4 linked regions of the Drosophila melanogaster genome follow. The protein of the gene in region 3 interacts with the protein of the main gene of each other region in a pairwise test. Each region holds a gene or a part of one and is shown on either strand. Other genes may lie near its edges. The genes, in order: Ldsdh1, Jheh1, sturkopf and Gp93.

Region 1 (8,588 bases), on a different chromosome or scaffold from region 3:
GCGCTGACCGTCATGGAGACGGAGAACGTGACTCTCGACCAGCACGGAATGTATCACTACGAGGGCGGTTGGCCCAAGGAGGTTAACTTCAATGACGAGGAGCAGACGCAGCGGCATCGCAAGAAAGTGGAACGCGAAGATAGCTGGGGTGAGCAGGTCCTGTCTATGATTCGCACCACGATGTCGGTGGCGGAGCAGAACAATACCCTCAATATCTACCAGAACTTCTTTGCGGATCTGCCGCCGGAGTTGGGACATGACATCAAGATGAGGTTTCGCGCCCGGGTGGCCAATGTGTTCCATGATCTCTGGCTGCCAGCACGCCAATTGAGGTCCATTGAGTGGATGCCCAACAATAGCCGACAGTTTATGACCCAGTATACCAATCACTTTGCAAAGGGAGAGCGACTGCGGCCGGTCACGGATGAACCATTTGGCGGGACAAATGGCTTCTATGTGTGGGATGTGAAGAATCCACTCAAGCCGAGGATCACCTACGACAGCAAGCAGCAGGTGTCGTTGGCCAAGATTTGTCCCAAGGATGAGAACAACATGGTCGGTGGCACGGGGCTGGGGCAGGTATGTCTGTGGGGCACCTTTAAGGGCGGACTACCCATAAGGAATTGCCCCCTGGAGGTGTCCCACAGGGAGACCACTTCGGCCCTCTGCTGGGTTCATTCCAAGTCCAATACGGAATTCTATTCGGGCTCCCTGGATGGCTCCATTAAGTATTGGGACACCAGGGATCTGAAGATGCCCATGCAGGAGCTGCTCCTCGAACCGGAACCGCAGGAGCGTCAATCGCGCATGGATTCGCATGGAGTGACGGTGTTGGAGTTCGAATACACCATCCCGGTGCGCTTCATCATCGGCAGCGATATGGGTCACGTTTTTGTCGGCAATCGCAAGGGTATGACTCCGATGGAAACCCTTCTGGCTCACTATCAACTTTTTGTCGGACCCGTGCGCAGTATCAATCGAAATCCCTTTTTCGTCAAGAACTTTCTGGTCACGGGCGATTGGCGGGCAAGGATTTGGTCGGAGGAGGTCAAGGACAGTCCGTCTACCATGTATTTCCGGAAGAATGCACAGATTTTATGCGGCGCTTGGAGCACAGGTCGCTGCTCCCTTTTCGTCACTGGCGATATAAACGGCGTGGTGGACTTTTGGGATCTGTTGCTTCATCACCGTAAGCCCATTCGTTCCGTGGACTTTAAGGTAGCCATTGCGGATTTGGTCTTCCGGCCGGAGGGCGATCTGCTGGCCATTGGCCTGAAAAACGGCGACACTCACATCATGACACTGGATGAGTCCATGCGACAGGCAACTGGCAAGGAGAAGGCACTCATGGCCGCCGTAAGAATTGAACATTCTGTAATGTAATCCCCTCTCTCTAATTAACACTATATCTTCTGGAAGATGTTCGAGCGGGAGATCGTGCGGTGTAAACTACTGGAGGCTCGCTATGATGAAGTTAGGCTAAAGCGGAAAACGCTTCAAATGGCCGAGGAGGAACGTGTCCGGAAGCAGCAACAACTGGCGCCCACTCTCGAGCTGGATCCCGACAATCCCGATCAGTTTGTGATGATGATCGAGGGCGATGAAGAATTTCGCACGGCCATCACCGAATTCCAGGACATCATACTCAGTGTGGAGAGGAAGCGTTCCAAGCGGCAGGTGATCATGGAGCGTACGGTCTTTGAGGAATGGAATCCGGCTGACGAAAAGCTTCAGGGTGAGCCCGTCGTATACACCAAGCCCGAGCGAAAGGTTCAGACGTCGGGAAACTATGACAAGAGGACTTCGGGAGAGCCAAGAGCTTCGCAAGGATCCATGAAGCACCAGTAAAAAAAAATATGAATATGAACTATTGGATATGTTGATATGATGTGCAAATTGAAATAAAGTTATCATTTAAATACAAACTGTTTGCCAAAGCTGCGGGAAACAGATGAAACCCCATACGATGAGCACCATTAAGACCATGACTAGCGGGTCAAACCACATTTAATCACATTATGGAGTACTCTTTGGAGACCTTTATTACGACCAACACAATTAGCCCGACTACGTGCGACTTTTTAATTAAGTAACAACCTTTCTAACAGCTAAATTTAGTTCGTTAAATTCACTTTTCATATAGCATTAGTTGCACTTCTCTACACAGCAATTAAATGGAGTTAATAGTACACTGGGAAAAAAAAAATAAGCAAAATAAAGTGAACAAATGGGGGGGGAGAAGATTAAAGCTAAATCATCCACTTTTAGATGGATAATGGGGTGTTCAATTTGGCCACTTGGAGCTGAGCTCTAGGACTTATCGGTATCCACACCCGTGTCGAAGAAATCGTTGACCAATCGCATCGCCTTGCGTGGAATCAGGCGACCGATCTTCTCAGCGGCCACGAAATGTCGTGGAATCGCCGCCTCCTCCAATCCCTGGCGCTGAGCCTCGATGATCGATCCGGCGGCCACATCGGCGGGTATCAGCTTGAACAGATTGGGGAATCGGTAGCGGGGATTCTTGCACAGACCCGTATCGATCATATACGGATATATGGTAGTCAGCTTGACCTGCAAGCGGAAAGTAGGTGGGTTATATTAAACTTCGAATTCATGGAGTTATTATGGGAAAAGGTCTCATCCATATGAGATAATAAAATCGTAGTGTGAAACCAAGATGCTCGCCTAACGGTGAGAATTAAACGGGCTGCTTGGTACGAGCTATAATATATTATTTTTAATTAGCTACTCTTAACCACCTAATAACCTTTTAATTGGACACTCAACTGGATTATAATGAGCAACTAAATGCTAATAAAAGTGTGAGTGAGTTGGTACTTACGTTGTTCTGTGGGTTCTTCTGACGCAGCTCCTCAACGAGGGCGGCCATGTAGCCACGAACGGCGAACTTGGTGCCGCAATAGGGCACCAGATTGATCAGTCCAAAGAGTCCGGCGCATGAGGATAGGGCCACAATGCTGCCCTCGTTGCGCTCAATCATATCGGGCAGGAACGCCTGGATGATCTGTGAATGAAGTGAATGGTCGTCAATGTTACTATTGAGATAACATCGATATTAACACTATCACATCAACTTACCCAGAAGTGAGAGAGCACATTGATCTCGTACATTAGACGAATCTCGTTCTCGGTATGCTCCAGCAGTGGATGGCAGGGCATGATGCCGGCATTGTTGACCACCACATGAATGAATCCATGCTCCTTGCGCACCTTCTGGGCCAGTTCGATCAGTTCCTCGCGCTTGGTCACATTGCAAACGTAGCCAAAGGCCTTGCCACCATTGTTCTTGATCTCCTTGACGGTCTGGTTATTGGTCTGCTCATTGACATCCCAGCAGAGAATGGTGGCGCCCAGCTTGGCGTACTGCAGTGCCATCTCCTTGCCCATGCCGTGGCCAGTGCCGGTGATCAGGACCACCTTGCCATTGACATCATCGAGCGGCGGCGCGCGGAAAAGTCCAACGATAGCTTCCGCAATGGCGAGCCAGAATTTGACGATCAGCATCACGATGTCAACCACCAGCAGGACAATGTTGTAGATGTCATTGCTGTTGGCGTTGCTGCCGTTGTCAGCACTGAAAGAAATATGTACGATATTATTACCAAATATTAGGGTAAATTTAAGGCTTAATTGTGAGCATGTTTCTGTAAACTACATTAAATATATATATATTTGCTTTTTAATAATAAAGTAAACCACATAATGCTATGGTTTTTTGTGGCAAGTGCGTGCTTTCTCTACATTGACTCTTGATCTTGGGCATCATCATAATTATCAAGCGGAGTGGAGTTCAAATGGGATTAATCCGGAACCCTCCAACTCTTGCATGACCCACAGTCATTTGGATGGCAAGTATGTGCGTGTATATGCCTTATCTTACAGCCAGCGACAATCGCATGACCTTTGCCATCCTCACTTTTTGCGGCTACACTGGGAGAAAACAAGTCGCTTAAATGAAAAATTTTCTTTGTATCATTCCATTTTTTATGACACATTTCTGTTATTTACTTATCAATGATGTCATGTAATGTGTTTCGGTTTTTCGTGGGAAATGCGGAAATAGCCAAAAAAAAAAAAAGGGGGGCGGCAATGGGCGGGTTTGGGTGGTTCCAACGTGGGTCATCGTGTTTTCTCCCAGCTCATGTTCTGTAATTATATTTCGCTGGCTGCAGCTGCGTGAGATCTTGATAATGCCGAACTGTTTCCAGCTTTTTGGTTTTTTTTTTTTTTTTTTTGGTGTGGTTTCAATGTGTTTTCGCCCATGCATTACGTAGTGCGATAGTATATGCATATATGTATATATATATACTTGCTATATATTCTAGCAGATCGTGCCATCGACTTGACCATCATTACCATGTCCCTCTCTCTCTCGCTCTCGCCCCCCTTGCACTTTCTATCGCTCCGTTTCACTTGCGCATTTCACTGCCATGGAGACTGCTCTTATCGGAATGCTACTTCTGGAATGCTATTTATAGTACGACGTTCGGAATCGGACCAAAATCGTTCCGAACAGCCCACAATATTGGAAAATATTTTCCATTTTGGAAAGTAGCATAGTATTTGAACTGCGATCCTCTGCACTTATGTCCTCTCAAGCGTGTGAAAACTATTTCACCGAAAAAAAAAAATTTCAAATGATCCTTTGCCCGGTCAATAAGTGTAAGGCGATCTTTGGTCAGGGCAATTTGATATAGTTAAACTAAGTCGAACGAAGGTGAATGGCGCTTAAGTGAGCGGATACAGATTGCACAATGGTTGGTCAAAGGTTGAAGCGATCATCCATCATCATTCATATGGATGGTTTGGTCATCTATAATGCGATCTCTGGGCCAATTATTCCATCGAGCTGAATAGTATTAGTTAGTATTTGGTGCTCATTGAACCCTGCTCCTCCGGGCCACTGGTTGTAGACCCAAGTCGATAAGGTGATCTTATCGCTGGCGATTAAAATATTGCACTACACTTTGTTCCAAATGTTCCGTTGATAAGATAGTTCTCTTAGGTTTTTTTTTTTTCTTTTTCTTTTCTTGATTTGTTACCAACTGGTGGGTAGCACTTCTGTTTCGGTGATTACCCACCTTTGCGTCACTTTCGACATGTTTCGTGTATTTGGCTAAATCCTGCGAGGATCGTTAATGTATATATATATCTATATATATATATACGTATATAGGAAGGGATCGGAGCAGCCGGAGCAAACCGTTAGCGGCTGTTAACGAATTCGGACTGAATATTGAGCAAAGTAAACACTACGCACCGTACCGCCACGCCGGTCTTATAAGTTATTATTTCAAATCTACTCACACACACACACTCACACACACACACACACACCACTGGGTTTTCAAATACTATATGGTACTGGTACACTGGCACACCGGCACTACTTGTAGATACACTCTGCCGGCAGCGTTGACGTCGACCGCGGCAGCGACGCAGGCAGAGCGTTCTATAAACACAACTACGACATATGTTCAATGGCACTGTCATTCCGATTTATACCATTACAATCCAATGCGATGCGATCCGATCCGATCCGATCTATATGGAACGAACGATATCCGCGGATGTGCAACGGTTCAGCCGGTATGAAATGCATATTTCTATGTATGTATTTATTTTTGTTAGATAGCAAATGCCTGTTTGTTAATCCGGGGTCCGGTAATAATACCCTAGTCGGCCATAAATAAGATATATATGTGTCATATATAAAAATACACACAACCAGGCGGAGTTTACGACCCAGATCGTTCAGATACCCAGATACTTAGATACACAGATACTTCGATACTCAGAGAGATGAGATACAGAGATGCGGTGTGCGAAAGCCAAAGGTGAAAAAAGTGCCAAAGGGGGTGCTAATGCCAAGGTAGATCTACGGCGCCGATATTAACACACAAAAGCTTCGCCTAAACAGATCGGTTTCATTCACTTATTTTTTTTTTGACCAAATCATATGCGAAGATAAGCACTGGCAGGATGATCTTTGGCCTACGGCAAAAAAAAAACAAAAAAAGCTCAGGAAACCAGAACCAATGTACAATGTACGCCAATGAGAGGTATTATTTGGTTCAAAGATTTAGTTTTTTTTTTTTTTTATCAGGGTAGGGTATGATGGTTAGAGGGTAGGGTCTTAGCTGTGCACTACTTGACCCCTGAGACATAGGAATCAGATTGCGATTAGATAGTGCTCCTTGCCATTTGCCGGCTCAGCATGATGCATTATTTTTCGATTGGAACATTGGGTCAAAGTATGGGACTCTCACCATATAGAGAGTCGGGCGAGTAGAGCCCAACCCATGAAGATAAGAATGGGATTCCTTGGGTTATTGGTAATACATTTATATGAGTGATCACTTCATCGGCGATATAACTAACGTTCAACGTTCATCCGCAATAGCAAACAGGCGCTTCTATATAATTAAGTATATTGCTAAGAATTTAATTATTCATAAACGACTGGTTTTTTTTTATATGGCACATATATATATTTTACAGCTGACAACACTAATGACTAATTAGAGACTTGTGCTACTAATATATTCACAATAGTTTCTCAAACTTTTAAATTGCAACCAGATCTATAAAGGGCGATTAATCTGATCTTAACTATATCTGCTATATCTGTTACTTATTTATGGTCAACGTCATGGGTGATACTTTGTTTGCAATTCCAAAGTAAGTGCATTAGCATTTATTACTTGTGTTAAATCGTTCTAGTTTGAATACTGAAAGCTTAGTAAAATATAAAAATTTTGTATATTAATATTGAGATGTAATGCCAAGTCAAGTTGATTAACATTATCTGCTCGCCTCTCCATCAAGGGCAGCATCTTCCTTTCCGGCTACTCGAACTTGGACGGACACCTTATAGCTGACATGCTGCACTCACTCATTCCGGTTCGCCGTCTATCCGATCCGATTCGAAACGATCCGGTCCACCTTCCATATGCCAGATGGAATGGAAGCCATCTATCTAGATATCGGTGGCTGGGTGGCGTAGTGCAACCCAATAAAACAAAACAATTTCGAATAGAAACAGGCTTTGGGCGTTGCGTTGCATGAATGCATTCAATAGATGAACAAGATTCGTGACAATTCGCTAGTCGGGCGGGCTTGTGTATCTGTATCTATGCGGCTATAGTTGTTCTGCTGTGGATGCGACTGGCTAATCGAATAAATTAGCTCGCATAACCAGACCGGTTGACTAGCTGACTAGCTGACTAACTGACTAACTGACTAACTGACTGATTGACTGACTGGCTGACTGTCTAACTGACTGGCTTATTGTTTCACCCGAGGCTTGCATAAATATGACGCCTTGGCGACTCATCCGCGGCATCCATCTCAATTCGCACCTTCATCTGGGGAATGATCCCAATGTGGATACGTGCCAATTACAGATTTGCGACTGCAAATTGCACCCCTGTCGTGGGTCGGGGTCACCACTAAGTCAACTAGCCAACGCAATTAGTCTTAACAGCATTCGCGAATCGGACCCGCTTTAAGTCTGGCTATTTGTAGGGATCACCAGTTCAGGTGGGATGCATAAACAAGTTCCACGCTATCGATCGTGCAAAGTATTGGCATTCATAACTAAACGTCTGATGATAAATGTACTAATGTACTGCACCATTAAAGACCGAAATATATGTATATTATGCATAAATTATTGATTAAAATTTTATTAATTACATTAATATAACAAATTCAAAGATATTTGGATGCTGATCACACCTGCAGCGTGGAGAAGAAGGAAACCACAGCGCTATCTGTGGGCAGACACTGGCCAAATGCCTCGATTAGCAATGGTTCCGCGGTGACCGTGCCCATAAAATCCTCCAGGGAGACCTGAAAACCAAATCATTATATCTGTAAGGAATTATACCACCACCAATCCATTCACCTTGCCGTCCTTGTCCAGGTCGAACTTCTTGAGCACAATCTCCACCAGATCCTTGACGCCCTCGTCGGGATCTTCGTCCTGCGGTTGTTTTATCAGGCAATTTCGCAGCAGCGTAAACATTTCATCCTTGGTGATGAAGCCATCCGTGTTCAGGTCGTAAACCCGGAAGCAAAAAGCCGCCCGTTCCGCCGGCGTGCCGCGCAGGAATGTTGAAAGTCCAATGAGCCAGCCCTCGAGGCGAAGGGGCAAACCCTCGTGGGCCTTGTCCCAGCTGCAGAAGATGCGCTCCATCAGGATCTCCTCGGTGACGATGTCGAAAGTGCTGTGCAACAGCTCGCGGAACACAATGCGATCGATGCCCTACGAAGAGTGGCGCTGAAACACCATTTCTTGACAGGATCTGTTCATAGTTACCTCCACGGCAGCATGTGGCTTGGCAATAGCTGCGCTCGAGGAGCTGGAGGCCAGCGTCTTGGCCGCATATTGACAATTTGATACCAGCTTGCGATAGATGCGGCACAACGCATCCAGCTCGTCCCTATTCGGGCGCCAAGTGGCACATACAGTTCATCATCGTACTCCAAATTATGTATGTATGTTTGTATGTAATTCACTCACTTCGTAAACCGCGTCTTCTTTCGCAGGCTGTCCAACA
Region 2 (7,021 bases), on a different chromosome or scaffold from region 3:
TATTCCAAATTTGTAATTGTTTAATATTCCTATATATTCTTGACCATCTGCGCAGCCACTTTAACTCCGATTCCCGATTGTAATGTTCCAGGATCAGGGATGGGAGGTAACTTCACGCGTGTACCTGGCCCTAAAACAAGGTACCCTTTTCAGTATTTTGTGTTTGCTGAGGTACAACATTTAAAAAATACCGATAATGATAAAAATTAAACTATGTCCCGATTATTCTTCTAAAAATTTAATCTATGCGTTCCATAGAAACTAAACCAAATTATTATTATTATGAAAAATATGAATGAATTGTTTTGGACTTATTCATTGAAGTGTATATAACAAATTAAATATTCCTAATACAACATTGAATATTAAGGTTAAATAGAAAAGTGAAAAGTTGAAAGTGGAAAACGGTAACATCTACTACTATTTTTCCGGGTACCTAGTCATTTCCAGGATCAAAACCATTTAGGTTATCGATACCAAATAAAAACTAATTTTTTTTTGTAACAATTAAGCTTTTATTGGAAGATCTACAGAGTCTTAATTTTAAACTTACGTTCCACCGTTTCGACAAAGTCTATAAAATCCTTGTATAGAACCTTTGGAACCTCTAGAGCGGCAAAGTGCCCGCCCTTTTTGTGGTAAGTGCTGTGCACTAGGTTCGTGTACTTATCCTTCAACTGGACATCCAGGAACTGCATAATGTCGCTCTTGAAACGGGCACATCCAGTTGGCACTCGGGTGGGAACCCGATCCAGGTGCAGGTCCCGCTGTGCCTGGGCATACTGCTCGGCATAGAGACGCTGGGAGGTGGTAATCGAATTGGTCAGGTAGTAGATCATCAGGTTGTCCAGCAGGGCATCCATTTTGTAGCGCTTAGTGAGTCCTCCATCTGGCAGAGATCGGTAGCTGGGATTTGTCCACGTGGAGAACTTCTCCAGAATGTAGGCGGCCAGACCCACTGGGTTATCGGTGAGGGCGGCTCCGATGGTGTCCGGTTTGGTGGCCTGGATGTGGAAGTAGCCACTCTCCTCCATTAGGTATCTCATCTCGTTAGACTTGGGAAAGAAGAAATCTTCAAAGCCAGAGGGCACAAACAAACTGGGCCAAAATTCGGCCACTAAACCCTTAGCCAGCGACTTCGGACTCAAATTGTTGCACATGTTCGAGTGGTAGCCCAGCACGTTTTCCGGATACAAGGTGGCAATGTTGCTGCCAATAATGCTGCCCCAGTCTCCACCCTGGATAAAGAATTTGTTGTATCCCAAACGCAGCATAAGATTCCTCATCATCACCGCCACTTGAGCGGGACCCAGTCCTTTTCTGGAGGTGCCCTGCAGGATAAGAGACAGATAAGCCTATAATACACTACGTAGATTGGACAAAACCCACCTGTGACCAGCCATAACCTGGTAAACTCGGAACCACGACGTTAAAGATGTACTTGTTATTATTGTCCAGATTGGTCTGATGCAGCAAATGTATGAAATCGTAAAACTCCCGCACCGATCCCGGCCATCCGTGGAGCAGCAACACCGGATAGTGTTTCTTACCCACTTTGTTGTCATCATAAACCATCAGGTGGAGGAAGTGTGTGCGTAGCCTAAAACCCCATCGTTACTATCTGTGCATATGATAAGTGGGCACCTTATCTTACCCCTGAATATCGGTGGTGAAGTGATTGAACTGCCAAAGGAACACCTCGCGTTCGCGCCAACGCGGCAGGTAGTCATCGCGCCAGTACTCCACGACCTCCTTAAGGTAATTCGTATTGAATCCGTACTCAAAAGCCACGCCCTCGAGCGGAGGCGTAAGGCGCAGGGTGCGATTGAGACGCTCTTTCAAATCAGCAATGGTCTGCACATGGTATGAGTTAGTATATAGTACATAATAATGGATAGACCCCCACTTACCTTATCCGGATAACTAAGCCTATTGCCTATCACCTCCGAATTGTTCTTCAAATAGGCCTCGTAATCCTTGGGCTGCGCCTCATCGCCCCACCACTCCTGGGGATCCAACTTTGGTGCGGGCAAGTCCGCCCATAGTTGGGTCACATTCCTATAGACCAGCCCACCGGCAATGGCCAGTATCAAGACCAGAATTTTAACAGTGACACCCATCTGTTCCTATCAGCGGTTCCACTCAGACTGTCTCGGATAGCAGCTACGATTCCACTGATTCTACCATATCATCGTGGGCGCAGCTCTCGTTTTCGACGCTCATGATGATAAGCGACTTTGAGTGACCACCCTACGCCGATCAGTTGGGGCTTATCGCGGGTTTACTTTGGACTCGACTCCACTGAGACGGAGTAGCGGCTTTCCACATCGGGGATGACTCGAATGAATCGGCTTGTTTGTTTATTTACTCAACAAAGCTTACATGCCGGTTTTTGGTTTGAAGCTTTTACGGGTAAAGACCGGAGGGGTATGTATGTATGTATGTACTATATGTATAAAGAATGAGACCCGCGAATTGTTTTTGTATATTTTGCGACGCAGCTGGGCTACCAGGTTAGCTAAAAAATACCCCTTATTTTCGAACTACACTGGGGTAGACTGAACATGTGTGAGATCTTTGTTGCCAAGTAAAATTTGATGTTCATTTGGTTTAATATCACTCTACTGTCATTTAGTTAAGTAATAATTCAACATATTACATGATTTCTTATAAAGGGTACACCAATGTCGACTATAGCCCATGGGAATAAGTTACGTAACATCGTTCCGAGCTTAGATATATCATATATGTACATATACTTATGAAAGCAAACACCACACACTGCCCTTTTGCTCGCCACTCGTGTATTCCAAACAAAAAACTCTTCAACTTTCGGTTTTCAAAGCAGATAAGGCAAATACAATCACCAAGTCGATTTGATTTAATTTTTGCAACAAACATAACCGTTTCTTTCAAGAATCACGATGAAAATGTACAATGGACTTCTATAACTAATGATAAACAATTTTGTTTTATGAGAAATTGGCTTTCTGGACAAAAGACACAAAGTCGTCGTACAGCTGCTGGGGCAGCTCAAAAGCGGGAAAGTGACCTCCATCCCGGTGGTGGGTACTGTGCACCAGATTGGGGAACTTGTTGGCCAAAACCGAGTCGGAGAAATGTGTGATCTCATGGGCGAAACGGGTGCAGCCAGCCTTGGCCTTGATGGGCACGGAGTCCACGGCCAGTGCAAACTGCGAGGCAACCATTGATTCGGAATACAGACGCATGGAGGTGGTAATGGAGTTGGTCACATAATAGATCATCACATTGTCCAGAAGCTGATCGTAGGTAAATCTCTTGGTCAGACCACCGTCAGGAAGCGATCTAAATGCCGTATTCGTCCATGTGGAGAACTTCTCCAGAATATAGCTAGCCAGACCAGTTGGATTGTCGATCAAAGCATTGCCGATGGTGTCTGGCTTGGAGGCCTGAATGTGGGCATAGCCCATCTCCTCCATTATGGTGCTAAACAAGTGACCGAGTCCCTTGTAGAAGTCCGCATACTCGCTGTCCACAAACCAGCTGGGGAAAAAGGAGGCCAGCACCATCTTCAACTGACCCATAGGGCTGTTATTTCCGCACATATTAGAATGATAGCCCAGCACGTTTTCCGGAAAAAGTGAGGCTACATTGGATCCAATTATGGAACCCCAATCGCCACCCTGCACCAGAAACTTATCGAATCCCACTCGGAGCATCAGGTTGCGCATCACCACCGCCACTTGCGCCACACCGAATCCAGTTTTTGAAGAGCCCTGGAGTTGGAAAAATATAAAATTAGTCATTTTTCAATTTGTAATTTGGAGAAGGTTGTGTAATAACTTGTCTACCTAAGTGCTATATATTAATGCCATAGTAAGAGATAAGTTCTATGGCTTACGGCTTTTGGAGAATATAGCATTACTTGGTTAGCAATTTATTGTTGTCCCTTTGGAAACAAATCTAACCTGAGACCATCCGTAGCCGGGCAGACTGGGTGCAATAACCTCGAAGACGTAGTCGCTCTTGTCACTGGGCGTGGTCAGGAGAGGGATGAAGTCGTAGAATTCGCGAACGGTTCCCGGCCATCCGTGCATCAGAAGCAGAGGCAGCACCTTCTTGGGCTTTTGGCCTTTCACCTGGCTTGGCTTGGCATGAATAAAATGAATTTTTAAACTGCAAAAAAATGGAAAAACATTTGGGGTTAACTTTTCATGTTAATTTGCAAAAGCAGGCGACTAATTAAGCGTGGAACACTTCGGTTTTCCATAAGTTCTGTCGCACTCACCCCTGAATTTCCGTTTGGTAGTGATCCAGCTTCTTGAGGTACTCCTCCCGTTCGCTCCATTTGGGCAGATATGTATCGCGCCAGTATTTCACCACCTTGGCCAGTTCGTTGGCATTGAATCCGTATTGGAAACCCACACCCTCCAGTGGCGCCTGCGCTTTCAAAGGACGACTCAGCTGACCGATTAGATCCTCAATAACCTTTGATAAGAAGTGATGAAGGATATTAAAAAAATTATATAACTTAAATTAAATTATTAAATCAAATATAACTTTAAATAGTATGAATTTGTACAAATTACCATAAATTCTGTATAATTAATGATACTTGCATACCAGCATGATTCGAAATATTTACATATACTATACATTCATAGCTTTGATTGCATATCATACTGATTTGATATTTTGCATTTGTATATATGCATTTGTGTATGTATATTTATTTACCTCTGGCTTTACGCTGATGTCGAAGGGTAGGATGGCCTTGTTCTCCCGATAAGGTTCCTTCAATGTTGGACCCCAGTAGGCGTTGTTGTCCAGATCGGGTCTCTTGCCGGGCGCCGAGAGATCGCGATAGTTCTTATAGCCAACGGCCACCAGGATGGTCAGAGCTCCGACCAAGATTCGTGGCCAGATGTTCGCCATTGTGTGTTTATGCTATATTCTTTATATATTCTATATACACAGATCGGCGAACTGCGCAACTCCTCGCTTACGATCGTCGAGCACAAATGATTTGTAAAGCGCAAGCTACCGGCAAACAAAAGCTTTTTGTTGGCTTGTGGATTTCAAGTGGATCGTATTCCACACGGCAATGCAATGCGAGCATGATTGGACAAATAATTTGAGAATTTCGGCGAGCTTTTGGCAACAAATTGAGTGAGAGCAATTTTTGTACTTAAAATTTACATTTAGTTTAGGAAGATGATCAAGCAGTTCCATTTATCAATCCACGAAAGTAAAGTGAACAAGAAACGATTCATGCTTAAAATGAAATTGTTATATGACATTTAACTAAATACTGATTTAATTAATTAATAATGATTAAGAACTCGAATTACCAACACGCGGAGCCCTTAATATATACAGAGGTGGTCAAAAGTATTTTCACAACGCACAATATTTGCAAACTTCAACTTCTTTTTGTTATATTTCTTCTTGTTGTTGTCCGATTTGCCTGAAATAGTTCTTATCGCTTAGCTTGATCTATGCAGAAGGTAGTCGAAAAGAAATACGAAAGATAACGGTTCATAGTACAAAGCTTAAAGCAAAAGAAAATATGCATGCAAGTTGTCAATAGTATTTTCACATGTTTATTGCGCTTCAAAAGTATTTTCACTCAACTTAATTTAGTAAATTTCAGCTTAACATCTAATTTCAACATAAGAATTTTTTTTATTTTATATAAATACAATACTAATATTTTGTAACACCACCTTTGGCATCAATAACTGCTTGAAGTCTTTTTGGTATTGACCTTACCAAAGTTTGTGCAAATTCTAATGTCAATTTGGACCAAATCTCCGCTATTACAATGATGGCTCCCTCTCGTTTTCTATTTTTATCAATAGTTCGTTAGTTTTTAATAAAAGCCCAAACGTTTTCAATGATATTAAGGTCTGGGCTTTGGGGGGGCCACGGAAGAACCGCCAGATTAAGGTCGTTTAAAAATTTTGTTGGTATCCTACCCTTATGGCATGGAGCATTGTCCTGCTGAAGAATCCATTCAGTAGTTGGAAAAAGTCTATTTCCAGACGTAAAAGCATGGTTGTTTAAGATAAGAAGGTATCCGTTCTGATTTAAAGTTCCTTCTATCGGTACCAAGTCTCCGAATCCATAATAGGAAAGACATCCCCAAAACATGACTGTGCCCCCACCAAATCTATTGGTTGGCTGGGCTGCCAAATGCTTTTGATTATTTTTCAAATGCATAAAATGCTTGCTGTATGACCCCTGGTACTGAAATGCAGACTCATCAGTCCATAAAATATTAAACCAAAAGTCAAGAGGCTTCTTAACATATTCCAACGCAAATCGAAGACGTTTTGTTTTGTTGGTTGGTGTGATCTCAATCGTTTTGCGAACAACGTATGTCTTAAAATCAGCTTCTTTTAGCCTGCGACGAATTGTAGAACTACTAACTTGTTTGCCAATTGTATTTTTTGATTCTAAGGCAATTTTTACCGGACTGGCACTAGGATTCTTCGCCACAACTCCAAGTATTTGCCTGCATTGCCTTTGGTCCAGCACAGGTTTTCGGCCTGATCTTTTTTTATTTTTTAATGTGCCAACTGTATCAAGCTTTTTTATTAAGTAGTAGACAGTTCTACGCGAAATTTGATATATTTCAGCTATTTTGGCCGCAGGTGTACCGGCTTTAAACCTAGCAACAATACCAGCCCGGGCCTCAACTGTTAACTCTTTTGTTTTGGGCATTTTATTTAATAACTGTAATAGGAAAATGATTAAATCTAATTTTTATTCAATAATTTAAATGTATTTAAGCAAACAAACCGGCACTTGTCACTCTAAACCAATCACTGAAGAAGAAATTGCGTTGTGAAAATAATTGTGATGCGACGAAACCGTGTGCAAATACTTCTGACAACTGATAAAGATCTCTTCATTTGCCTCTTCCTTGCGCATAGGAACAGTTATTTTTTCAATTCTTCTTTCATCTGACTCTGCATAGGTTTGAATTTGCAAAAGCAAAAGTTTTTTTGCATTTCACCTCCCCCCACTTGCTGCA
Region 3 (6,969 bases):
CCGTCTGAACGAGGCAATGAGTAGCTACGATGTGGCCGACAAGCTGTACAAGGAGATCCTCAAGGAGCATCCCAACTATATTGACTGCTACTTACGGCTGGGTTGCATGGCAAGGGACAAGGGTCTCATTTTCGTGGCTTCCGATTTCTTCAAGGACGCGCTGAACATCAACAACGACAATCCAGATGCGAGATCACTGCTGGGAAATCTCCATTTGGCCAAGATGCAATTCGCTTTGGGACAGAAGAATTTCGAAACGATCCTCAAGAATCCGTCTACTTCCACCGACGCCTACTCACTGATTGCTCTGGGAAACTTTTCGTTGCAAACACTGCATCAGCCGAGTAGAGATAAGGAGAAGGAGAGGAAGCACCAGGAGAAGGCTTTGGCCATATTCAAACAAGTGGGACAGATTAAAATAGACCAATTATAGCTCAATTTGTAACGAAATGCATCCGCTTTCCAGGTTCTTCGCAATGATCCCCGAAATATTTGGGCCACCAATGGAATCGGTGCCGTGCTGGCACATAAGGGATGCGTGATCGAGGCGCGCGATATCTTCGCCCAGGTGCGCGAAGCCACCGCCGACTTTTGCGACGTGTGGCTGAACATTGCGCACGTTTATGTCGAACAGAAGCAGTACATCAGCGCTATTCAGATGTATGAGAACTGCATGAAGAAGTTCTACAAGCACAACAACGTCGAGGTAATGCAATATCTGGCAAGAGCGTATCTACGAGCCAACAAGCTGGTCGATGCCAAGGCAGTGCTACTTAAGGCCCGTCGAGTTGCTCCCCAGGACACAGTTCTACTCTTCAACATAGCAGTGGTCCTCTCACGTTTGGCCATGGCCATACTCAAGGATGAGAAATCTACTCTGGAAATTGTGCTGCAAGCTGTCCATGAACTGGAGCTGGCTCAAAAGTAAGTGGTATCCTTGCTCTCTTAAACTGCGCCTATCAAATATTTTCAAGTGGTTATTAGAGTACCAACCAAGTGATAACGTGAATTTGATTATATTTAGAAGTACAGCAGAAATGAGTAACCATTAATGGCATTTTAGCTTATCAGATCAGATTAGATATTAATGCAAAGCAATCATCATGAACTGCTAAACCGAAGATTGGATTAGATTAGCTGATGATTTCCTTGATCATGGTCAATAACTATTTCTATGAATATGTTTTGTTTCGTGCTTAAAATCTCACTCACAATATCCCACCCCAATCTCTTATAGATACTTCCAATATCTGTCCGTGCACGGGGATAAGAATCGCTTCAACATTGAGGTGGCTGGCATTGAGGCAAGCACCTGCCAAGATCTTCTCTCTCAGGCCCAGTACCATGTGGGCCGTGCACGTCGCATTGACGAGGAGGAGCGCTCGTTGCGCCGGAAGCAGGAAGAGGAGCGCGAGGCCTTCAAAATTAAGGTGGCGGAGCAGCGCAAGCGGCGCGAGGAGGAGGCAAAGACCTCCAGGGACCAGTTGTTAGCCAAGCGGCAGGAGTACGTGGAGAAGACCAAGAACATGCTCATCATTGCGGACGCTCCACCTGAAAAGGAACGCAAGAAGGGTGGTGGGCGAGGTCGTAAAGATGACTACATCTCCGGTACCGAAAGCGATAACGATGGAGCTCGTCGTGAGGGAGAACGTCCCTCGAAGAAGAAGGGCAAGGGGGAACGCAAAAAGGGTGGCGGTCGCAAGCGCAAAACGGAGAAGTACGAGAGCGACAGCGAGGAAGAGCCAGGTGCCAGTGGCAAGTCGGGAAAGAAGAAGGGCAAGAAGCCGAAGCCGGTTAAAGAGTCCAAGGAGAAGCTTTCTGCCAAGCAGCGCCTCAAGGTGCTTTCCAAGGAGACGATCTCCACCAGCGAATCCGAGTCTGACGGCAAGCGCAGCAAGAGCAGAAGTAGAAGCAGGAGTCGAAATCGCAGTGGTAGCCGAAGTGGCAGTGCCTCTAGAAGCGGCAGTGATCGCGAGGCTAGCCGCAAGCGCAGCAGGAGCAGAAGTGGATCTGGATCTGGGAGTGACAGTGATGAAGCAACTAAGCGGAAGCGCGCCAGGAATCGCATCGAATCTGGCGGGGAATCGGATAGATCTGGGTCCCGTGCTCGCTCCAAGTCGAGTTCCCGTTCAAGATCTCGATCCAAGTCCGGATCTCGATCGAGGTCTCGCTCCAAGTCGGGATCCCGTTCGAGATCGCGCTCAAAGTCCGGTTCCCGCTCGAGATCCCGCTCGCCGTCGGGTTCAAGATCCCGCTCTCGCTCTGGCAGCCGATCCAAGTCCGAATCCCGTAGCAGATCAGGGTCCCCGGAAAAATAACGCACCTCTCAACCGTGTTAAATCACTTTTGACTATATTTAGAGTTGTCTTCGAGAGCTGCAAAAAGATACTAATAAAAACGAACTAATTGCCACACAAAGGCAGTGGAGTAATTGCTATTGGTTTGCTGTTCAACCGTAATCCGGATTCCCAAGTCTATTGGCATGGATGGATTAGGTAATGGACAGGGCTGATTGTCTGGGCCAGGTCAACAATCGACTTCAAACACGTCTGTGCTGCTGGATCATGTCTCTTACGATTACAGCCATAGGCTGCGAGTGGCGCAGGACGAAAGCGTGGTCGATCTTCTTGGTGTCCAGCTGGGCGTCCACCTTGGGGTAGTCTTTTTTGAGCTGGTCATAGTAGGAGATTGGTACCCATCCGTCGGTAGTGCCGTAGTAAAACTTGAGGAGGTCCAGGTTCTGCTCTACAATCTCCCTTTGAATCCCGCGAACCCTGGCCATCTCATCGTCGGCCAGGAAGACCACCTTCTCCGCTACCGATGGTTTGGAGTACTTTAGGGCGGTGCCCAGAAACTGTCGTGGAATGGAGAAAATCAAGAAGTAGATCTGTATCAGCATCAGGCGCAACCACACGGGCAGAAAGTTGAAGAAGCTGAAGAAAATGTAGCCAAACACGGAGTACAGGGGCATGGCCACCTTGGTGAACACCCATCCATTGGGCGACTCCATCATCCGCTCGACGGTGGGGAACAGCATATAGCACTTTTGGATGCGACTCCGTATCCGCTCGTTTTCCAGCAGCTGCAGGATCATCCACGCTCCGATGGAGTGCCCAATCAAGTGGATCTTGACATCACTTGGCACGTATTTCTCGATGAAGGCGATTTTATGCCGGATTTGTCCGTCCAAATTGAAGAGCTCCTCGTTGCCGCTGAGTTGAGGAACCTCCCGAATACTGGCCTCTGGCGGATCATCATGGCCAGCGTGCCCTGGAGGGAACATCAAGTGTGCTATTACCGACTCAATGTGGAAACGCCAGCACACTCACCTATCACCCAAACTGGAAGATCGCCCAACTCCTTTTGCAAAGTGCCTGCGAACTCTGTGTAGAAACCTGGCAAACCGGGATTGCCAGTTATGCAGATGACGATCTCCTTCTCGGTTATGGTCTCCTCAATCCACCTGCCCCATGTGAATATGTGGGTGGGAATGGAGTTGATGTTGACGTAGGCCTCCTGCATATTTTCCGCTGCTGTTGGCGTGGCAAACTGCGCTGAAAATCAATCGGCACCTGTGTTGATCCCACTCTTTTCACACGCGATGAGTTGTCTAATCCCCGTGGCAACCGGTTTTCCTTTGTCCAACCACCTCGGCTGCAGCCTTTCACGAGTTTCAAATCTTGAGGATTGGCGCGGTTTATCCCCAGGGTTGATAGCTCTGATAAACACTGCTATGTGTTTCGGCCAATTGTTTCCAGCAAGAATGGACAAAGGTCACAAGTTCAGCGGCTTAAAAACGGCTGATACAGAAACCAGGGCGGCAAGCTATGCCAAAATCAGATGTTCTATATTAGCGGATACTTACCATGATAACGATTGCTCAGACAGAGAAAAAGTGTAGATAATTTTGTTTAAAAAAGAAAAAAACCAAAATGCATTAACTTTAAAAAAAATACTATGGCGTAAATTATTATTTGTCAACCTATTGATATCTCTTTACAGTACTAGAAGCTTTTATAAATTTCATATTAACTTTTACCTATCATCATTAAATATTCGAAAGTACTCCCTAACATTAGTTACCTACGTATACATTTTTTATTAACCAAAACTTATATGTAAAATCGCAAATTGTTTCTTTTTTCGGAAAAAATTGAGAAAACATTTTGATATTCGTGTTCAGCATAAGTTCTAGAGAATTATCCGATCTTAAGGTTTTTCAAAGCGGATCTTAAAAGTCCGCAAGCGATGCAGCCCTAGCTTAAGCCCATTGTCAGGGCTGCCAACGTGGGCAATGTGGCCCTATCCCAACCAGTTGGCATCGCCACCATTATTTATTGGTTTTTTGTTGCTGGTTTTTGAGTTTTTATATTTTTTTTCTAGAAGGCCTAAAATTTATAGAGCGTTGTAGGTAACAGGATTCAGGATTAGACTTAGATTCTGAAGGCACACCCATCGAAAGCTTGACGAGGCATGAACCGAGCAATTGGAATCGGGAGCAAGTGGACACAAAAGAATGTAGCTAACAATTGGGGACATTCTCGAAAATTCTTGTAGCACCAACAAGTAAATTATTATACCCAGAACAACCGAAGGAGCTATTGGGCGGATCCAGAGCAATGGCATCTGGCAAAGAGCTCTATTGCTGGGGAAGCACGTCACATGGTCAATTGGGACTTGGCGGAATCGAGGACGAGCAGGTAGATAGATGACTTTCGGATATAAGCCCACTGATATTACTTTTGTATGCCATTGATTTCCTCACAGATCCTCACACCTAGTCAGATACCCTGGACACCGGACACTGCTGTACAGCAGGTCGCCTGTGGACACCGACACACTCTCTTTCTGACCGCCACTGGAAAAGTCTACGCTTGCGGGAGCAACGACTACTCCCAGCTGGGCCACGATCTGCCCACCAAAAGGCCACGTATGTCGCCATTTCGTATGTAATCTTCATTTATCGTCTTGTCTGTCCACTCTCCACTAACTCCACCTCATCTCCATACTCACCAACTACGCGAGCCACTGCTGTGAACCGAGTCTAAACCCCGCAATCATCTTCCGGCCGACTTTTTGCAGTGCTTATCCCCGAACTGCAGGATTACGTGATCATCCAGATCTGCTGCGGCAGCCGCCACTCATTGGCGCTCTCCGATTGGGGCCAGGTCTTAAGCTGGGGCGACAACGACTGCGGCCAGCTGGGCCATGCCACCGATAAGGAGATCGTGCAGCTGCCCAAGGTTGTGCGGCAACTGGTCACAAAGACGGTGGTGCAGATCGCCTGCGGCAACAATCACAGCTTGGCACTGACCAGTTGTAAGTATGGAGTGAAATTTAATGGATTCCATTCACTAGATACACAGATACACATCAGAACTACTTGAAACAAGATAAGATAATTGTATTTCCCAAGTTTAGGGCATTACTAAACAATTCTTATCTAAAGCTAAACAACGATACCTTCCGACTAACATCATCCTTGACGTTTCTAGGTGGCGAGCTGTATTCATGGGGTTCCAACATCTACGGTCAGCTGGGCGTGAACTCCCCCAATGATTTGACACATTGCAACTATCCCCTCCGACTAACCACTCTGCTGGGAATTCCGCTGGCCGCAATTGCCTGTGGAGGCAATCACTCGTTCCTCATCTCCAAGTCCGGTGCGGTGTTCGGATGGGGCAGAAACAACTGCGGGCAACTGGGACTGAATGACGAAACGAACCGCTCGTATCCCACCCAGCTGAAAACGCTGCGCACCCTGGGCGTGCGATTTGTGGCCTGCGGCGATGAGTTCTCCGTTTTTCTGACCAACGAGGGAGGGGTGTTCACCTGTGGAGCTGGCGCCTATGGGCAGTTGGGTCATGGCTTTAGCTCGAATGAGATGCTACCGCGAATGGTAATGGAGCTAATGGGCAGCACCATCACTCAGGTGGCCTGTGGCAATCGGCACACTCTGGCGCTTGTTCCATCGCGCGGCAGAGTTTATGCCTTTGGCTTGGGTAGCTCTGGGCAGCTGGGCACGAGGAGTACCAAGAGCCTGATGCTGCCGCAGGTGGTCATCGGTCCTTGGGTGTCGCCCAGCGGATCAGCCCTGTTGCAATCCAATGATTCACAGGTCTCGTTGGTCATCCGACAGATTTTCTCAGGTGGCGATCAGTCGATTGTGACCACAACTTTGTTTGTAGACAAGGTGCCGCCCGAGGATTTCAGAAACTACAAGTAACTATAGAAGCGTGTTACTTTAGTATAAACATATAAAACTATAAACATATATCTACTTTGCAGCCCCAAATCCCAGATCCTAACCCTAACAGCAGAAGTCACCAAGCAGTGTGCTCAATGCAAGCAGGGCCTTCAAAGCGACATGGATCTACTGAGCTCTATTGAACTAATATTTAGAAGCCAGGCGTGTTGGAATGGTTCCTTTCTGCTGGATCACGACCGACACTTTGGATGCTCGGTTCGCAACCATGGACTGGATCTGAAAGCAGCCCAACTAGCATTCGACAATCTGCGCGCTGTGGAAAATGAAAGCATTAGGCAGGTGGTAAGTTTTCGCCATTACAAGCATCATTGGTATCTGTTTTAATCATTTCATTGTTTTCAGATCTGGGACAATATAACCAAGGAGCTAGTTGGTTCGCTGGTTTGCTCACCGGCAGATGTGGAGAGCATGCGATTATATCTTCTGCTCCCACTTTACCACGAGTTCGTCAACTCCAAGCACTACAAGTCACTGCAGGTTCCGTTTGCCAATGCCATATTTAAGCTAGCAGAGAACCCACGGAAAGTGCTGAACAAGTGGTTGGCCCAAACACCGGCTGAATACTTCGAGCATCTTGTCCAGAACTTCTTGCATGTTGTCATCCATATTATAAGTTTCAAAATGGGCTTGGCTGCCGCTAGTCCCAGCGCCGAAAGACGTCAACAGGTATTTAGATTTCAATATAGGGCCATACCAGTGTC
Region 4 (8,716 bases), on a different chromosome or scaffold from region 3:
TCACAATGGCAGTACTTGTTATTTTATTTACTCATTGTTTGTCCTAGATTAAACTGGTTAAAGTGGTGCGTCAGGGCTACTAACTTTGGCTATGATAATACATAAAAAAAAGGTAGATTAAGTCGAGGGTAGTTAGCCGTATAGACTCGTTGCTCGTTGCTTTTCTTCTGCAAGTCATGGTTACTCATGATATGCAATACAGAGCCCAATACAATTGTGGGGGATATCCAATATTCATTTCGCTTACTGACATTGCCAAGACCTTAGAACGTGCTCTCATCATGATTTGTGATTCAGAACTGATGGGGTGATGATTTCCGAAACTATTTCAATCTGGCTGTCGGCGAGAATCTAATTGTGCAATGTGGCAGCCGAAAAGGGAAATAATTGTTCAGAATATGCATAGATCTCATCAAAAGAAAGTTTTTCGAATTTTGTTCGTCCCATAATTGTCGAGATAAGGGCTATATAATCTGTAAACAACAGCAGGGACTAATAATTGATATCAGTGGAATATACAAATATATAATTGCATGCTTCCCGGCAAAACTTTCGCTGATTTACGAGCCAGTCACTCGGAGCCTAGAGATTTGCATTTGCCTACGTATTTAATGATTGCATATGCACATACATATATATATATATGTATGTATATATATATATATCTGTTCATACTTAATTGTACTTATTTAAAGGCGTGCCTGTCGAGCACACAAGTCGGAATTATATCTGGGAGCAGAGAGCAGCATCCATATTGTAAATTACGAAGGCCTTGGCTTTGCGATGCAGATAAGATTCACTGGAACACGGCCCAACTGCATTTATCTATCTGCCGGCTGGCTGCTGCTATCAATAACAAGTCAACAATGCCATCCAAGGTGAAAAGTAGCCCCTCGAGTGGGGGAAATCTAATTAAAGGGTTCTCTGCGACGAACTGATAGAAGTTTCCATTGCATAAAAGCCCGATAGAGCTGCGTTCGAAGAGATCGCGGAGCCAACATGATTCATTCATCCCGATGGTGTATTGTGTGTGTGCCGTGATAAGAGAACCCGGTGATAGGTAATTATTGCAAGCAAGCGGCCTCAATTGGTGTCCAATTTGGTTTTCCGCTCTCTGGCTTTTAAAACTTCACGAATTTTAGCTCGTCAAACGGACTGTGTCCAGAATCTAGATTATAACGATGACGCCGGGAATACCGACCAGGCTTTAGACTGGCAACCAACTGCCTGCCGGCTGTCACTTGCGCGATTGACACATGTGGCCACGAAAATCAATAAGTGCTCGAGCCACCAGCCAGCTGAGTGAAATACAACGAAACAAGAATCGGTCAATAATAGGTATTGAATGCGTGGTGTACATATGTACATATTTACATATAACCATATACATATGTGTATATACTTGCGGCGAACGTCATTACGAGGTGGGCATTTGCATACGCTTAAGTGGCGGACTTGTGCACTTGGTTGGCCCTACCGAATTTTCAGAAGAACGATGAGAACGCTCCGCCGATAAGAGCTAGTCCAATTACTATGGCTAATCTTATCGCGGAAGCATAAACCAATGGAACGTGCTACGATAAGCGTTCAGAGCGGCTATATGTGGCTATACCACCCAGAGCTCTTAATGAGAAACGCAACTCTTGGTTGCACTCGAGACGTGGGCAATTACATCACGATTATGCCAAAGCAGCGGCGGCACACACAAAATTCCGATTGATAGTGAGGTTAGGTCGTGTTATGTTCATGCCGCTGCTCCTCCGATTACCAGGCGGCCATGCAGTCTCTCTCACCTTGACGGAGTCCAGCGGATACATGACCACATGCTCCAGCACGCCCGCAATTGCGCCCGCCGTCATATTGACACCCACACTGGTGGTGGGCAGCGATTCGTAGTCGTCGATGTTCATGGTGGATCCGAACGGTTGCCGTCGCTTTCGATTGTTGAGGCTGCTGGTGGGGCTGCACTATCGACTGTGTTGTGTGCTAATGCTGTGGTTGCGCCCTTGCAGTCGCTGCTCCTCTTACGACAACCTGCTAATCCGGACCAGTTCTGCCAAGTCGCTGTTGCAGTTGCTGCTGCAGAGCCGCTTTCTCCGCTGGGATCGGGTCGCTCCGCCTGTCGAGGATCGGCGTTGGTTAGCGGGCAACTCTTGGCCGGCGTATGTCGGGCACTTTTGGTGCAATTTTGTTGTATAACACGGATAACACGACGATTCACGGACGCACGGGCGGGTGTATTTCGGGGGGTGGTGCTGCTGGCGGAGGCGGCGGCGGTGGCGGTGGTGGTGCAGAGTGTACGCGTGAGGTGGTCTTATGCGAAACTGCTAATTGACACTGCTGTTGCACGACTAGCATACAGACGACATAGAGACGATTCCCCGATTCAACGATTCACGCGAGGAAGCAATTTCTGGTTTAGTTGCTCGCGGCTAAGCTGCTGCTGCTGGAGTGGCGGCTGCGGATCGGTTGTTTTATGAATATATAAGAGTCGGTTTGTGGCCGAAGCGGAATTTTGGCTGGGTCGGTGTTTGGCAACTGACGCAAATGTTGTATGATTACAGCGAATCATTAAATTTCGCCCAATAAACAAGCCTCGTGCCCAGAGTGACCGCAGCGGGAACGTCGCAAAATACCAAAATGGCTCGGGTGAAAATACCAGCACAAGTCCACCCACATGTGGGTGCGGAACCTTAACGCCATGGCAAATAAAAATACCAACATTAAAATATTTAACTTAACATTGTAAAATAAACCGAACGGTACAAAATCATATGTTATATATTCTAAAACGAAATGGATTTCCTTGATCTCTGTCAGGAATTTATATTTTATTTCAATTCATATTTTTATCATTACTTTGCTATATCAATAAGTTCTCAGTTATCTATTTTGGCAGCTTAAAAATTGTATATACACGAAGTTGTTGTGCAACCGACCGAAGAATTTATTATTTTAAAGCTTAGTTGTTGTATACATGAAAAGATACTAATTTGTTTCAAATATAAATCATATATCTACCGGCCTAAGTGTTCCCTTTTGTAAACTATTGATATAAGAATGTAAATTATCAAATTAAATATATTTAACAGTAGAGTTTTGACACTACATCCTCTTGTAAACTAAATCCCAAATAGATTCTATGAATGTATGGGCTTTCAAATAAGCAAACATTAAATTTATTTAAATTACACTATTTTCGTGCTCTGTGCTGTATATATATCCTATTTCCAGTGCAGCCCCTGGTATTTCCTTCCAATGCGCTTAGAATGTTCCAGCGCCGGAATACGGTCACTCTGCGAGGCATTTAAAGGCCTTCCAGCCGCTTGTCGGCGTCAGTAAAAAAAAATCAAAGCAGGCGACGCAAGTGCGGACTAATTTATTGCATCTGTTATTCGTGACGTGGCCTTTCGCCGGACGAACCGATAGCTCGAGCTCCGTAAATCAAGCTACCAAAGATCATGAAGTACTTTTTGCTGGTGGGCCTGCTGCTCCTAGCAGGTAAGTGTGCACATTTGCCACGCCGCATTGAACCGGTGTTTTAACCTAATTATTAATTGGCGTCTGATTCGCGTCTGATTAGGCATCAATCAAATAGCCGCCGATGACGAGGCCGCCACAACGGAGACCATCGACCTTGATCTGGGCTCCTTCAAGGAGGGCTCCCGCACCGGTACGTAGACACGCCCCCCTCTCGCGACGACGAGTTTTGTTTGGTACACGTCAGCGTTGCGATAACCGCCCCCTTTTTCTAATTCCCAATCCCCCAGATGCCGAGACCCTGAAGCGCGAGGAGGAGGCCATCCAGCTGGACGGCCTGAACGTGGCGCAGCTGAAGGAAATTCGCGAGAAGGTGGGTTCATTGCCAGGTCATTTGGAAGGTACACGTATGACCGGGATTTCCTTTCCCTTTTTTCTTTGTCTTTTGTCTGTGCGTGCAGGCGAAGAAGTTTACTTTCCAAACGGAGGTCAACCGCATGATGAAGCTGATTATCAACTCGCTTTACCGCAACAAGGAGATCTTCCTGCGTGAATTGATATCCAACGCCTCCGATGCCATCGACAAGATCCGCCTATTGGCTCTGTCCAACAGCAAGGAGCTGGAAACGAATCCGGAGCTGCACATCCGCATTAAGGCCGACAAGGAGAACAAGGCGTTGCACATCATGGACTCGGGTATCGGCATGACTCACCAGGATCTGATCAATAACCTGGGTACAATTGCCAAGTCCGGCACTGCCGATTTTCTGGCCAAGATGCAGGATCCCAGCAAGTCGGAGGGACTCGATATGAACGACATGATTGGACAGTTCGGTGTGGGCTTTTACTCCGCTTTCTTGGTCGCCGATCGTGTAGTGGTGACCACCAAGCACAACGACGACAAACAGTACATCTGGGAGTCGGATGCCAACAGCTTCAGCATCACCGAGGATCCCCGTGGCGATACTCTGAAGCGAGGATCCGTGATCTCGCTGTATCTGAAGGAAGAAGCCCAGGACTTCCTGGAGGAGGACACCGTGCGCGAGCTCATCCGCAAGTACTCGCAGTTCATCAACTTCCCCATCCGCATGTGGTCCAGCAAGACCGTCGAGGAGGAGGTGCCCGTGGAGGAGGAGGCCAAGCCCGAGAAGAGCGAGGATGACGTGGAGGATGAGGACGCCAAGGTCGAGGAGGCCGAAGATGAGAAGCCCAAGACCAAAAAGGTTTCGAAGACCACCTGGGACTGGACCCTGATCAACGACAGCAAGCCCATCTGGACGCGCAAGCCCGCCGAAGTGACCGAGGATGAGTACACTAGCTTCTACAAGAGCCTGACCAAGGACTCCAGCGAGCCCCTGACCCAGACGCACTTCATCGCCGAGGGCGAGGTGACCTTCAAGAGTTTGCTCTACGTGCCCAAGGTGCAGCCATCGGAGTCCTTCAACCGCTACGGCACCAAGTCCGACAACATTAAGCTGTACGTGCGCCGTGTTTTCATCACCGACGAGTTCAACGACATGATGCCCAACTACCTGAGCTTCATTCGTGGCGTCGTCGACTCCGACGATCTGCCCCTGAACGTTTCCCGCGAAACTCTGCAGCAGCACAAGCTCATCAAGGTGATCAAGAAGAAGCTGGTCCGCAAGGTTCTCGATATGCTGAAGAAGATCGACAAGGAGGCGTATGAGAAGTTCTGGAAGGAGTTCTCCACCAAGTAAGTGTCGCTTTCTAGGAATTAAGAAACGTTCTTTGCCTGTTCAAATAATTAGTTATTTATGATAAGCATTTCCGCAGAATCCATTATAATATGGAGAATAGAATGACGTGTATTATTTTTTGCCAACAAATTAATATATTTAGTTTGTTGCTTTAAAGAATTCCGCGCTGATAAGATAAGGAAATCCACGTAGTATTATAATATTGGCACTGGTGACGTGTAGAGTTTATACTTAAATATTTTATTTTAGTTAAATAAGCATTTCCATTAGCTATAACCTCGAATTCTTGGATTTTCGTTGCTTATCAAGACTTAATTGACTCATTTCAGCATCAAATTGGGCGTGATGGAGGATCCCAGCAACCGATCGCGTCTCGCCAAGCTGCTCCGCTTCCAGACCTCCAACGGCAAGGGCGTCACCTCGCTGGCGGAGTACAAGGAGCGCATGAAGGCCAAGCAGGAGCACATCTACTACATCGCTGGTGCCAACCGCGCTGAGGTCGAGAAGTCGCCGTTCGTCGAGCGTCTGCTGAGCAAGGGATACGAGGTGCTGTATCTGGTGGAGGCCGTCGACGAGTACTGCATCTCCGCGCTGCCCGAGTTCGATGGCAAGAAGTTCCAGAACGTGGCCAAGGAGGGATTCCAGCTGAACGAGTCCGAGAAGAGCAAGAAGAACTTCGAGTCGCTAAAGAGCACCTTCGAGCCGCTGGTCAAGTGGCTGAACGATGTGGCACTCAAGGATCAGATCTCCAAGGCCCAGGTTTCCGAGCGTCTGAGCAACTCGCCATGCGCCCTCGTGGCCGGCGTCTTCGGCTGGACCGGCAACATGGAGCGTCTGGCCATGTCCAACGCCCACCAGAAGTCCGACGATCCTCAGCGCACCTACTACCTCAACCAGAAGAAAACGCTCGAGATCAATCCCAGGCATCCGCTGATGCGCGAGCTGCTGCGCCGCGTGGAGGCCGACGAGGCCGATGACACCGCCAAGGACATGGCTGTGATGATGTTCCGCACCGCCACCCTGCGGTCTGGATACATGCTCCAGGAGACTTCGCAGTTCGCCGACAGTATTGAGCAGATGATGCGCCAGACCTTGGGTGTCTCCCAAGACGAGCAGGTGGAGTTCGACGAGGAGGAGGAGGATGATGCCGAGGAGACCGCCACCGGCAGCCAGGAGAGCGGCAACGCCGATGATGAGGAGGAGGAGCAGCAGCACGACGAGCTGTAAACTACTTCACCTCACCCACTGTCCAAATAGATTGTACATAAGAGTGTGAAGTTCAGACTGAGTTTTAAACCGCCACCGGGTGGCCGGGCGGGCACTCCATCAACATTACACGCTAGATTCTAAGTAAAATAATTTCGTAGTCCTTCGCCCACGCCGTCATCACCGCCAGTCGCCCAGAGAGCACTCCACCATTTCAGCCAGCACACTTGGTTGCTCAAGCGTTTTCTTTTTTCGAAAGCAAGTGAATTATGTATTTATACAATGTAATATGCTTAGTACACAACAGATTCCAATCAAAACAAATAAAGACAAATGAATTTAAAACTAAAACAACTGCCTATTTAATATGGCGCGCAATGTAAAATTTCCGCAATCGGATACCAAAAAATAGTTAAAAAGTGAATTGATTGCTCGATCAGTCAAGATCGGAACTCAGCGGCTCATCGTTCAGGGCCCTCAAGTAGGTGTTGTACTTCATCTGGTCGCGGATCTGCTGCACGGCCTCCGATTGGGACAGCGTGTATGTGTCCATAAAGAGGCGCACTATCCACAGCGGGAGCAGTCCGTTCACCAGCAGCGACGTGTGGTTCTGGTAATCGGGACATGTTAGGATGGATATGTGTGTCACTCCAGGACGCCCCAAACTTACGCTTCGACTGCTGTAGACCTCGCCCAGTTTCTTGAGCATCTGCTGGTGAATGCTCTTGCTCAGTATGTCGATGACGTCCATGTGGGCAATGTTCATGTAGTGACTGGTGCGCGGCTTGAACTCGCGCTCCTTGAACAGCTTATCGAAGTCGCTGCGATAGTTTTCGAACGTATTCAGCACCTCGTCCTCGCCCATTTTTTCCAAGAGTCTGAGCCAATCAAAAGAACGCAAGTTGAAGGCACATTCGTGTTCGCTTTATTTGCATCTAGTCGAGTCACTTACAAAATCTTAACCTCGCGCGGCTTGGGCGTGTCCAGCATGCTGTCCAGCCGCTGCAATGCATTGAACCGCCCTCCGTCCATGTGTTCCACCTTGAAATCTTTGGCCGGCACTGGCGATACTCGTTTCACTTTGGGCTTGGGTCCTCTGCTCTTGCCGCTCCTGGTCTCGCTGAAAATGGCAGCCAGGGAAATGATGAATGAAACTGATCGCTATAGCACCATATTTCTATGGCTTACCCAACTACGAAGTTTTTGAATCGACTCGGGCGTATGGGCGATCGGCCGGAGCGGCGTGCAGGCTTGGCCTCAACGGAGCTGGATCTGGAATTCCTGCGAATAGATCAATAGGCTCTTAGTTCTCTCACATCCTAGCCTTCGCCTAACTCACTGCTGTGATGGACTGTGCGATCGCTTAATGCGGTTGCTCTGCTGCGAGGAACTGGGGCTGCTGGAAGAAGCCTTATCCTTTTCGCCTCCTTGGGAAATGGACCTGCGCTCGCTCTTGATCTTGGTTGGTTGGCTGGCCGTGGTGGAGCTCTTGTCATCCTCGTTGTCGGCGTCAATGTGCTTGGGCTTCGATTGTGTGCTGGAGGGGAAACATGCAGTGGAGAAAACATTAAAATGCATTCAACTTCGGTACATAAAATGTGAAAGGTGCAAAGGTGGTTCATAGCTATTGGGATCAAAAACCACACAATCCAAGCCTATGGAGTATTTGGGACTAATTAATAGGGTTTCCTACCCCGCTTTTGGCTTGGATCCTGAGTTTGCTACGCGGATCTTGCGGGATGTGGGTCTGGTGCCATTTGTTTCTGCTTCCGTGGCAAGCTCGCGCTTGGCGGGAATGACGTCCACAATGGTGGTGTCCTCTTGTGTTATGTACTGCAGCTGTAGGTCCAGGCAGAGATCCTTGGAGCTGGACTCCGTACCGGCCAGAAGAGCGACCGTTGCAGGATGCGACTTATTGGTCGCCTGGACGCGCACGATGATGTGATCGATAATGAGCTCGGTGTCCAGTTGGTAGGCATCCTGCCACTGCTTCAGGTTCTCGAACAGGCGCCATAGACCACACTCAATCCGGCTCCACCGATCCGCGGTCATCCAATGGAAATCATTCTTGGATTCCCGCTCAAAATGGGTCACAGGTGTCGGCAGAACTTTGACGCTGCAGATGACGCGGTGCTTCTTGTACTGAAATGGGAGCTGCTTTAGGACATGGCGGATCACACATCTCAGTGGCTTTTACCTGGTATAATTGCGAAATTAGTTGGCAATCACCGATGGCGGAAAATGACATTTTTATAAAATTGCTATGCGTCCTGATGTGACCGTAGCCGCTGACAGGCACAGCAACAACAATT

What was found.
Region 1: the proteins of sturkopf (region 3) and Ldsdh1 interact in a protein complementation assay, tested with the Drosophila melanogaster proteins (one study listed by BioGRID).
Region 2: the proteins of sturkopf (region 3) and Jheh1 interact in a protein complementation assay, tested with the Drosophila melanogaster proteins (one study listed by BioGRID).
Region 4: the proteins of sturkopf (region 3) and Gp93 interact in a protein complementation assay, tested with the Drosophila melanogaster proteins (one study listed by BioGRID).

Annotation. Positions count from the first base shown.
Region 1 is NC_004354.4:8,076,325-8,084,912, forward strand, and holds Ldsdh1 (lipid droplet subset dehydrogenase 1), read right to left. Parts: upstream 5,282-8,588; 5' UTR 5,126-5,281; coding exon 5,106-5,125; intron 3,599-5,105; coding exon 3,103-3,598; intron 3,029-3,102; coding exon 2,846-3,028; intron 2,575-2,845; coding exon 2,311-2,574; 3' UTR 2,026-2,310; downstream 1-2,025. Other genes in the region: CG1571 (uncharacterized protein), read left to right, coding at 1-1,356, 1,420-1,848; CG2256 (uncharacterized protein), read right to left, coding at 7,759-7,878, 7,934-8,293, 8,348-8,471, 8,552-8,588.
Region 2 is NT_033778.4:18,852,934-18,859,954, forward strand, and holds Jheh1 (juvenile hormone epoxide hydrolase 1), read right to left. Parts: upstream 2,155-7,021; 5' UTR 2,121-2,154; coding exon 1,911-2,120; exon of another isoform or gene 1,855-1,910; coding exon 1,655-1,854; exon of another isoform or gene 1,601-1,654; coding exon 1,390-1,600; exon of another isoform or gene 1,332-1,389; coding exon 528-1,331; 3' UTR 501-527; downstream 1-500. Other genes in the region: Jheh2 (juvenile hormone epoxide hydrolase 2), read right to left, coding at 2,973-3,758, 3,951-4,158, 4,271-4,470, 4,720-4,917.
Region 3 is NT_037436.4:1,309,391-1,316,359, forward strand, and holds sturkopf (sturkopf), read right to left. Parts: upstream 3,988-6,969; 5' UTR 3,866-3,987; intron 3,816-3,865; exon of another isoform or gene 3,732-3,815; 5' UTR 3,523-3,731; coding exon 3,330-3,522; intron 3,271-3,329; coding exon 2,540-3,270; 3' UTR 2,329-2,539; downstream 1-2,328. Other genes in the region: Ctr9, read left to right, coding at 1-403, 467-924, 1,238-2,318; Herc4 (HECT and RLD domain containing E3 ubiquitin ligase 4), read left to right, coding at 4,620-4,700, 4,768-4,945, 5,083-5,319, 5,496-6,222, 6,289-6,550, 6,611-6,934. UniProt on the Drosophila melanogaster protein: Probable serine lipid hydrolase associated with lipid droplets. Appears to lack or have very low cholesterol esterase activity. Appears to lack triglyceride lipase activity.
Region 4 is NT_033777.3:27,945,401-27,954,116, forward strand, and holds Gp93 (glycoprotein 93), read left to right. Parts: upstream 1-3,310; 5' UTR 3,311-3,461; coding exon 3,462-3,501; intron 3,502-3,583; coding exon 3,584-3,673; intron 3,674-3,770; coding exon 3,771-3,853; intron 3,854-3,941; coding exon 3,942-5,194; intron 5,195-5,527; coding exon 5,528-6,425; 3' UTR 6,426-6,751; downstream 6,752-8,716. Other genes in the region: mfrn (mitoferrin), read right to left, coding at 1,794-1,910; CG4951 (uncharacterized protein), read right to left, coding at 6,841-7,014, 7,075-7,282, 7,357-7,524, 7,593-7,685, 7,744-7,941, 8,098-8,546, 8,602-8,652.